3 linked regions of the Kluyveromyces lactis genome follow. The protein of the gene in region 1 interacts with the protein of each later gene in a pairwise test. Links are inferred from orthologs where the notes say so. Each region holds a gene or a part of one and is shown on either strand. Other genes may lie near its edges.

The links. The genes of interacting proteins can lie anywhere in the genome.
Region 2: the proteins of BCK2 (region 1) and KSS1 interact in binary tests that used the Saccharomyces cerevisiae proteins (3 or more experiments, as listed by UniProt). The link is inferred for Kluyveromyces lactis from reciprocal best matches to the Saccharomyces cerevisiae genes BCK2 and KSS1.
Region 3: the proteins of BCK2 (region 1) and SMI1 interact in a two-hybrid assay, tested with the Saccharomyces cerevisiae proteins (2 studies listed by BioGRID). The link is inferred for Kluyveromyces lactis from reciprocal best matches to the Saccharomyces cerevisiae genes BCK2 and SMI1.

What each region holds. Positions count from the first base shown.
Region 1 is NC_006039.1:1,561,505-1,565,795, forward strand, and holds BCK2 (Bck2p), read left to right. Parts: upstream 1-1,491; coding exon 1,492-3,864; downstream 3,865-4,291. Other genes in the region: aminophospholipid-translocating P4-type ATPase DNF1, read left to right, coding at 1-364. UniProt on the Saccharomyces cerevisiae protein: Dosage dependent suppressor of PKC1 deletion and MPK1 deletion. Involved in cell lysis.
Region 2 is NC_006037.1:217,152-220,180, reverse strand, and holds KSS1 (mitogen-activated serine/threonine-protein kinase KSS1), read right to left. Parts: upstream 1,590-3,029; coding exon 501-1,589; downstream 1-500. Other genes in the region: LUG1 (Lug1p), read right to left, coding at 1-35; KLLA0_A02475g (FAD-dependent oxidoreductase), read left to right, coding at 2,494-3,029. UniProt on the Saccharomyces cerevisiae protein: Together with closely related FUS3, KSS1 is the final kinase in the signal transduction cascade regulating activation/repression of the mating and filamentation pathways, induced by pheromone and nitrogen/carbon limitation, respectively.
Region 3 is NC_006041.1:1,408,682-1,412,091, reverse strand, and holds SMI1 (Smi1p), read right to left. Parts: upstream 2,109-3,410; coding exon 501-2,108; downstream 1-500. Other genes in the region: DIE2 (dolichyl-P-Glc:Glc(2)Man(9)GlcNAc(2)-PP-dolichol alpha-1,2- glucosyltransferase), read left to right, coding at 1-333; BNS1 (Bns1p), read left to right, coding at 2,713-2,970; prohibitin subunit PHB2, read right to left, coding at 3,373-3,410. UniProt on the Saccharomyces cerevisiae protein: Protein involved in the regulation of cell wall assembly and 1,3-beta-glucan synthesis, possibly through the transcriptional regulation of cell wall glucan and chitin synthesis.

The sequences.
Region 1 (4,291 bases):
TTGGAAACGAGGTGATTTCGATCATTATCCAGAAGGGTACGATCCAACCGATCCAGATAGACCAAAGGTGAAGAATGCCTTTGTTTACAATAAAGACATAGAAATGGCTCAATCTTCTACAGACAGTATACAGACAGAAGAGATCCCAATGGATGAATTGTTCAACAGTTCTGCCACGTCACCTCGAAGCTACCCACATAACCGTCATCAAAGGTCATCAGGACGTCCATCTCTAGAGATAACAAGAGCAGAGATGAGAAATTCAAACCAATTAGACAACAGATACTCCGTCGAACGTGCGCGTGTATCCTTGGAGTTGCCGGGTGTCACTAGAGCCGCGACACTATTAAGCAGTCATGACTAAAAGTGATAGAAAAATAAAAAAAAACAGAACTTTCCAATTTCTTCATTTCAACGTAATAGTAGAGACTGTCCTCATAATTGCCAATTGAAATACTTTCAATACTTCTTTGTGACAGTTTGTAATTCCTAAACAAAATTTCCTTTCTGCTACACTTATAATTCATTCATTGCATGAGAAATGTTATATATGTAAAATTAACTAACTAACCAACTTTAAGTAACTTTAAACAAGATAAACTAAATTAGAAACAGTTGTGATATACCATGTATGTGTCGGGGCCCTATCTCATGAGAATCCCACCACTATATTACTTTCTTTTTTTTTTTGTCCGGGATCTATTTTTAACGGAAATATCCCATTCCAGTATTTCTGTTCTCCGGCAGAGATTTTTTTCGGTTTTCCCTGTCTAACCAGCGTAAAAGAACTACTGTCCGGCATGGATAACCATGGATATTTCTTGAATATCTAGGCCGGTTTTATGTAAAACCTGCTTAAGCCAACTACAAACTTTTCATGGTAAAAAGGATATCATATATTTACGCTACTATAATTGAATATTGCCATACCAGTCTCTTAACGAGCACCGACATCTCTTACAACGTCTTTTACCCCCCTCCTCTGATCACCTGCCTTGTCGAGGAAAGCAAACTTCCGCCATTTTTAAATATATCGTGAGAACCATGTTAGTAAATAATGAAATATAAGTGAAAAGAGAGATCTTTAATTTTCCAAAACCATGAAATAAGTGGTGTTAAATATAAACCTGGAGAAAACAGCGTGCTTCTTAGATCTGAGATCTGAAGGAAAAGTCAAGGATTGAATACCCCAGGACGCATTGACCGTGATTACTGAATTGGCGTCAGTATTAGGTATTAGTGTCCCCATATAATTTTTACTGTTTGAGGTGTGTTCGTGTGTTTTTTGTTGCTAAATTTTTTTTCACTTTGCTTAGATACACTGTTTTGGTTTCAAAAAGACTACACTGAACTGATTCCAAACTCACCTTTGGTTTCAATTTTGATATCACAGCAAGCAGCAGTGAGTGTTGGCGTTAGGATTGGTAGATCCTTATTGACCTAAGTTCTAATCTGCTCTTTCTGGTACTGTGGATTTCTGTTTTTTTTCAGATGGCACGATTTCCAGGCTCTTCATCGGGTCACGGTGGTTTCCAAGCCGGCATGAATGGTTCTCCGATGGAAGATTTGACACCACTGGGTTCAGGTATATCGTTTGATTCGGCTTTTGGGCAAGCTTACATGAACAATGGGACGTCATTCGATGTCAAGAGTAAAAAAATGTCAACAGCACATGGTTCGCAAGTCATCATTCAAAGTAATTTGAAACCAACTTTGAACGATCTAAATCCTCCTATGACTTCTTCGCAACTTCAGTACAGTCCTACGATGTCTTTAAAAGGTGGCAAGGGTTCGAATAAGGTGAATATCATGGCTAGTCCAGTTCAGATCAAGTTAAGTGAACCACCGGCTTTACGTGAGACTAAAGCCGTTAAGACATCTAAATCAAAGAAAAATGGTGCTGGAGGATCTGGTTCTAACGGTAAGAATGAAATGGTATTCGTGAATTACTCTGTGCAAGACACTATAGAAACGCAAAAGAAGAAGAAGAAACAATCTAAGAGGGATCGAATGCTGAGAATTTTTACCGGAAATAATAACAGTGGTAATAATGACGGTAGGTCAGCTTCCAGTCCCGGTTCGAGTTCGACAATCATAGCTAGTAAAACTTTGACTGTTCAGTCTGCACCGGCATCTGCCGCCAAGAGAACTTATGGGTCTTTCTTGAAATGCCACAGGTATAACCCAAGCAATGCCGTTGTTGAATCTGAGCAAATGGATGAAATAGTTCCAAGATCTGAACCTATTCCAAATGGACAAAAACCTGCTTTGACAAGATCTGCTAGCTCTAACGTGGCTTTGGTGAGAAACAATGGTAGATGCTCTTTAGCCCAATCAGCTCAGAAATTCGTCAAAAGCGAACAATTGGAAAAGATGGACTTGCTGAAGTTTAATATAGCTAAATCAGCAGGTAATGGAGCTCAAACTGCAAGTGGTCATGCTAACGCGTTACAAAACACAAAGAGTCAGTCGAATATTGAGTTGCGAATGGTTCCAACCCTAAAGTTAGAGCCAAATGGGCCATCAACTTCCTTGTCCAACATTCCAGGAGCCCTAATGCAAATTAAACCAAATGCATCCAGTCATTCGGGAAACTGTGATGAGGATGACGATGGTGACGACGACTTTGATCACCACTACATGGAACCATATCAGGACACTGAACGTATTTCATCGGTTCCATCGTTACACCAATCCGATGTATCATCAGATACACTATCCACATATTTCACTGATGAGAACGATGCTTCTGTGGCATTCAGTAAATTATTCACGAGGAAAAGAACAAACACTGGCGGGTCCATAAGTTCTCTTCTCTCATTGTCGGCGACACAACCTTCTATCCCGGCTTTAGATAGACATCAAAGTAGTACTTCGGTTACTTCCTCTATGCGTTACTCGCCAATACGGTCCGGTTCTCAAAACCGAACAAGATCGAATACTAGAACTTCCAACCATAGGCTTTCCAGAGATTTAACTAGTTTACAAACTTCTATGAAGATTTCTAATACTGACAGTTCTGAACTGCCAGGTATGGAATCGTATTTGGACACTCATAACAAGGGAAATAAGCCAACCCATAGGAAAAAGCAAGAATCGATATCAGATATGGCAAGGTTGCATTCTGCACAAGGAGCAGTTATGAATTACGCTTGTACAAATAGTATCACCTCCATCTCTTCCTCGTCTTCTACTCCTGGAACTGCAGATAGTGCATTGATGCAATTTCCTAAACCGAGATCCGTCAAAGAGAATTCTGAGGATGCAGACATGCTTGAAGATGATGGCCATCTTTACTTCAGACCAACGATTCATGAAGATGAGGAGTATGAGTCTGCCATGAATACAAGTGCGTCAAGCAGCCATATTGGAATATCATCCACATCCACAATTTCTACTAGACAAACAGCCCCTGAGCTGGCGGACGCTAATTCTTACCCCTCATTTATGGAATCTAAGAATCCTCTTGCAGAGCATCAACATCATCTACCCGATATCAATACGAACAGCGAGATGGTTTTGCATACCAAGCAAATGGGTACAGAATATGGTAACGAATCATTCAATAATTACATGGACTTTAACTTCGAAGATTTAGCTCCATCGCAACTATTTAATGATAACGGAAATTTGTTACATCAAGTGTTCAATAGCTCCAATAATGACACATCAACCATTACATCAGGTATGAACGTCTCACCTATTACAGTTACAGGTGGGAATACCTCACAGGATGAGGTCACTACCTTAATGCCTTCCAGTCATCAAATGCATAGTTCGAACTTATCATTTCAGTCACGTATTATGAATGATATTGATCGTCTGGCACACGGATTTAATCTTTCAGATCTGCCAAATGAGTAAAAGACTTGACTGATTCAGTAAAACATATACAACAAAATATGTTACACTGTCAAGCTGGGACAACTTAATGAGTTTCCTGAATAATTTAAGGATATTATTTTATTAACACTAATCATAGTGTCATGAATTATGTCAAAAGAAAAGCATTTTACATTCTTTAATAGTTTTAACCTGCATCGAAATCCGCATCTTCATTTTTTCAATTATTTGCGTGCTCCTCGCTATTTACTGGATGCAGATATGTGAAACAAAGCTTCCATTTATTGCTAGCAATCAACCATACTATTGTAAAAAGGAAAACCAAACAACCCTTCTTTTCATTCTTGCACCCATTAGTATTGATATCTAACTAGTGTTTCAAAAGAACCATTTCGAACGATCCTTTTTAAACCCTCTTAGGGGGTAAAAAAGTCATCTTCTGCTGAGG
Region 2 (3,029 bases), on another chromosome or scaffold:
GAAGGTAACCGCATCGTCGATGTTTCACTGATCATATTGAACGAATTATGATATGCGAGCCCCGAATAACACGTTTTATACACTTCACCAATCCTTAAAGCTATTTGCACCTGTTTTGGTGCTCTTGATGATTTCTTTAAGATCCACTTTGGTTTTCATTTTTTCTTCTATTGATGCGGGTCTTTTGTTCAAGTTCTTGTTCATTCTAATTATATCGCTACTTTATTTTTCATTTCAGGGCATAAAGTACACTTAAGGTTCATAAGGGATCAAAGAGTATGAAAAACGTGATGTGGTTATTCGTAGCTTTACTTAGTTATGTAATTAACTATATGATTGTCTAATATGAGTATGAGAATTCTTGTATTACTTTTCCTCAATTTGACAGACTAGGCGTCCTAATGAGAAGTACCCATGAAACGTAAAATCCTTGAGTCTCAGTACATTCATTCAAAGACTATGCGGATAGTTTTTTTTTAGTTCATAGAATATCGAACATATCAATTTAGAGGCTTCATAACTTCACCATAAAGCATCTTTTTCAACAGTTCCAGTGGAATATCGTCTTCCTCGTTTTTATCGCGGGCCTCGTTGTCAATTTTCCAAAAATTGTCTTCAAGGTTTAGTTGGGGATAATCTGGCTCGTCATCTGGATCATGATATGTTGCCAAATATGGATGTTCCAACGCTTCAACTGCACTGATCCTCTTGTCTGGGTTGAAAGTTAGCATCTTGGACAATAAATCGATAGCAAGAGGGTTAACTTCTTTATTTAACACATTAGCCCAGGGTATACCTTTCTTCATGGGTAGTTGAGATATGTATTCTTTTGCCCTTTTACTCTTGATTTGTTCAAAGTCTTCCAAAGTTGGAGACCCTAAAACTTCTAAGATGATCCAGAGTTGATGGTGGTAATCTTTACCTGGGAAAAGCGGCTTACCCATGATCATTTCTGCTAGTATACATCCACATGACCAGATATCCATTGCAGTTGTGTATTCTTGGAAGGACAACATGATTTCTGGAGCCCTATACCATCTGGTAGCTACATATTCTGTCATGAAACCCACCATATTCTCTCTTGATTGATCACTCGATGCCAGGCAACGAGCCAACCCAAAATCACACACTTTGAGATCACAATTGCTATTCAGTAACAAATTACTTGGTTTCAAATCCCTATGGATTACTTGTGCCGAATGTAGCGATTTTAAAGCCCTTAGTATTTGATAAACGAAATATTGGATATGATCCTCTGATAAATTTTGTTGGTTGATAATCTTCTGCAAATCCGTTTCCATCAACTCTTGTACAAGATAAACTGCTTCAAATTTATGCCATGACGTCGGACGTACTATATCCAAGACCGATATGATATTTTCATGCGAATGAAAGAATTTCAACAGTTTCAACTCCCGTAACGTCCTGGTAACAAACATCGATCTGCTAAACGGCTGTATCTTTTTAATTGCAACTTTCGTGTTTGTTGGCTTATGTATCGCAGAGCAAACTGTACCATATGCTCCCTCACCAACCAGATCTACTAGTTGATAATGGGATGGGATATCATACGTGATTGTTCGTGGCATCTCTATGCTGTTAGATCTCCGGTTTGCTTGTTATAATGATCTCTGCTATTCCACTATTATAGATTTAGTTTCCCCCCACTAAGGATTAAATATTATATATACCTATAGCGTCCAATTGCAAAACTCTGGATGGGAATCCTTTATCGTCATTCCCGAGCGTTGACTCGGCGCCTTAAGTATCCCATTGAGTTGACACAATGCGCGACGTTCCATGTCGTCCAGATAAAGAATGTTTCGTCCTTGAATCTTTGTTTCATGTTGGTGAACATTCCATCCAATCTCGAAACCTGAAAAAATGTTACCCCGGTGTCAGTCATGTGACTTATAATACACATCACTGCTCGGACATACCGCAATGCGCTTCACCGTTCAAGAAAGTGCAGTTTCACACATGTTCTGTCGGTTGTTACCACTGCGACTGAGCATAAATTGGATCCATGCGGGTAAATCTGCGGAACTCATTTCCCGATAGGTGAACTGAAAGTCATAGTTAAAGTTAACAGAGAATTGATAAGGGAATAGCTAAGACCGCAACGTGGATTTACAGATTTTTCGAGTTACCTTAAATGGTAGTTCCTCGAGAGAAGGCAACATGACTTGACTGTAAATGAGCTGGAAGTGATATCTAAGATAGGTGGGGTCGAGGCAGCGCGTTTGTCAGAATAGCATGGTTTGTCATCGGTAACATACATAAGTGAAGGGACATGGGATTGAGATTCTCTTTCCTCAGTAAAGTTTTCCAACCTAGTTTCAGTTTGAAGTAGGAAACAGCCAATTGGCAGATCACTTACTTGAGCATTCCCAGTTTCTATAGTAGAGTAAAACATCTACTGAATATATCTATAGCGGTGAAAGTCACAATTTCATCAGTAAGCTTTATTTGAGCCTGAAATTATCAAATGACATGTCTAACAAATCTCAGCCATTGATCACTGTTGTTGGTGCAGGTATTTCTGGTTTGTACGTCACGTACTGTTTGACCGAATTGTACGGCGTTCCGGGTGAAAATATCTGCATTGTGGCAGATTACTTACCAGGTGACCAGTCACCCACTGGTTATACTAGTCCATGGGCAGGTGGTGTTTGGTCTTGTATTTCACCTGATGATAAAAACGTCATGTGGTATGATAGGTTCACGTATGAGAATTTACCTACTTTAAGTGAAAAATTACTGGATTTCTACAAGGGTAAAGATGCAGAGTGGTTAGGATTAGCTCGCAGACCATCCACGGAATTATGGGATTACCAGCCTCCCAAGGCCAAGATTAATTCCTTGAGCCAATATTTGGAAGAGTATAAGGTCCTATCGAAGGAAGAACTTGCAAAATTCAAACCTGAGGGAGCCCAATTTGGTATCGCTTTCAACTCATGGAACTTCAATTGTCCAGTATTCATAGTAAACTTGGCTAACTTCTTGAAACAGAAGCATAATGTGCGTTT
Region 3 (3,410 bases), on another chromosome or scaffold:
TTGCCTATTGAAATTAAAAACCCAATCGATTTACCAATTCAATTGACACATATTTCGTGGACTGCCTTGATTATGTGCACATTTATGACGGTGGTTCCTTCTCCCTTGTTTGAACCTCGATACTACATCTTGCCATTTATATTTTGGAGGCTTTTCATCACAATGGCACCTGAACCATTCTGGGGTAATCCAATAGGTAAGGTGACTGGAACGAAAAGACACTTGTCTGAATGTGCATGGTTTATGATAATTAATTTGATCACGTATATTATTTTCAAGAGATTTGATATAAAATGGGAATCTGAAACTACTGTACAGCATATCATTTGGTAAAGACATAAACAGAATATATAGAACATCTAATTGGACATAATTTTACCATTACTACTAGTTAATAATATCCGATTTATATTGAGAAAATAACACCATCTTAGAAAATTGTGGAATATATTTTGGAAGGTATGAAATTGAAGATTTGGGACATTAGTCTTGTTAAGAGATCAAAGAGCTACGTTTTCGAAATCGTCCTTTAACTTCTCAACCGAATTAGCCAAGTGGGACTCGGTTTCTTCCTCCACTTCTGGCTCTTTTGTTTTACTATCAGTGTCCTTTTTTTCATCCTTCTTACCCTTTTTCTTGGATGCTTTCTTCGATTGCTTCTTGGGCTTTTCCTCAGGCTTTTCTGAAGTTTCAACTGCACCTTCTTGACTGGTTTCGGTGTTTTCTACAGCATTAGTGCTTTCGTTTTGTTCGTGTTTGCTTGTCTCCTGTGTGTCAGCACCATCTGCCATCACTTCATCTGGATTTGAAGTCTTTGGTAGATTGTCTTCCGCTTTAGCGCTAGATCCTGTCTTTGTACCTGTCGTTTCAGGATCCTTAACTTCCTGTTTTGTGCCAGTATTGTCTACAGATAAGGAAGTGTCGTTCTTCTCATCCAAAGTTTCATCAACAGTCAAAGCTGTTTCCTGTTGTTCTGCAGGTTCTACAGTATTTTGAGACCCTTGAGATGATGAAACAGTTCTTTTAGGTTCTTCGGGCAGCTTTCTTTCGGTAAAGGAGTTCCACTTCATTCTTGATCTCATTACCAAAACTTCTAAGTAATCTCGAACTGGGCCATTACTCTTTTTGTCTCTAAACACAAGTTCACCTTCACCAGCAAACTGGTCGTTACCTTCATCGATCAATAACCAATTACCAAGTTCTAAATCATTGGCAAAACTTAACAAGAAATCACCCCAATTGCTTGCAACAACAAATTTAGTATCGAATTCTCTTCCGAAAAGGATAACTTGACCGTATTTACCCTTTGGTCCCGGTGCCAAATCGATACCGATGTGGTTCCCTGCATTATCCGTTACCAATGGAATCCACCCTGAGTTAGCATAGACTTGTTGAATGGCCAATGGCGGAACAGAATGTTGGTCTGGGATATCTGGTAGCTTGAACTGCTTCTTATAGTTTTGTGAAATATTCCTTTGAAGATTTGGATCCATAGCTTTGTAATCTTGGTTTTCTAATTTACCGTATCCTTTTTGTTGGTTTGGCAAATCAACAGTGGTGCCATTCAGCTCTTGATGTTTATCCATCTTAATTTGTAACTCATGGTTCTTACGTTCCAAATTTTCAGCCACATTTCTCCACGTTCTTGTCATTTGAACGATTTCATCTAGTCCCATCAACTGTAGCCCAAAGAACAAACCCCCAGTGCCTGTCATCGACACTAGATCTTCTTGACCATCATGCAACCTTAGAGATGCCCTTACTGAAGCGGGGAAAATAATATCTAAATCCTTCTCAGCATTGTTGATGTCGTGTCTTGTGCATGGGTCACTCAACGTTGCTGCCAAATCAGGATTATGTTGTGACGTCCAATTATCGATATGTCTCCATGCCAAAAGTGCTTCATTGATACCCTCGTTGCCACTGGGGTTCGACCCATCCACATAATCCGCCAATTGGATTTGGGAACCATGGTTAGATTCAGTTATCGACCGTTCTACTCCAGCAGCAACATCTGGATTGGCAGCTTCTTCATCGTAATCCGCATACCGATCTTCGGTACTAAAAGAATACACTAATTGCTGTAATTTCTTCTTAAAAGCTTGCATATTAATCAGATTTTCTCACTTAAAACACTAAGATACTATGTCAATTCCTAGTAAATCCTACTAATTTGCTTCTGAACTTTATTGATCTCGCGTAAACACTTACCTGAGGACATATGCTTCGATCATTAGACAGATCTCTTTGTATTCTGTACTTTTCCAAGGTTTCGACACGATTTTTTTCGATTCTAAATAGAGAATTTCCGAAAACGGTAGATAAACGTGACTATCATGTGGATAGAAATGGGGAAGGTGACAACACTTGGATTCGGGATTCGGTGAGGAACCACAATATACCTAGAAAAGTATCCTAGATTCATTGAACAACAGGTAGTTCTTAATGATTAAATTACGGTATACATTTTCCAATGTTCACGTGACTCAAAACTGTCATGTGACCGACACAAAGAATACACTACTTAGATTTCCCAATTAGGAGAAACGTAAACATTGAAATAGTGATATAAAGTCATAGAAATGCAATGCTACATGTGTAGAAACCACATTACAGTGTTCATCACGACAACCTATAAAACTGCTATTCAGGAGCCAGGTACTAAATAAGATCAAACAGATACAAGCCTAGTTCAAAGTAGCTCAAAGAATAATGACTGCCGGCCAATTTCAACCATTACATCAGAAACAGGATTCTCAAACTGCGAGTACAAGTTTGCACAAGGCCATGTTTAAGAAACCATCACCACACCAGCTTTCAGAAATGAAGAACAAGTTTGCTTCTCCTACCGATGATTTGCTCTCTCCATGTTCCCAGAAGTTGAACGATCACAGATCGAAGTTGTTCCAGGCAAAGAGCAATCCTACCAAGTTGAATTTCCAGTCGAAGCAATTAGCAGAAGAGTTTTAAATTTAACATGATCCAAGATACCCACTCCTCCCTATACTCTTCTGCGACTACATTCCTTGAGATACTTTGCTCTTAAGACGCTATTTTAAACATATTTACTTCAAGTCAGGCAGGTCCGAAACTTGCCTCAACTTATATCAACTTTTGCATCATAAACCTAGACATGAAATGTGCACGACATCTATATGAAACACAATGATTGCTCCTTTGTATATCCCCCAGTTTTTAACATATATTCTGAAAACATCTCTGTTTGGATTTTTACATAGGGATTACAACTCGTCGTCATATTGTTTTGAATTTTGACTTTTACTATAAACAAGATACATACGAGATAAATAAGATACCTAACTCGTTGAATGTGAAGAATTGGTGTTAATTTATTGTTTCAGTTTTGCTCCTCTAGTTCTTTGATCTAGAATCGGTCACTGTATTCAATA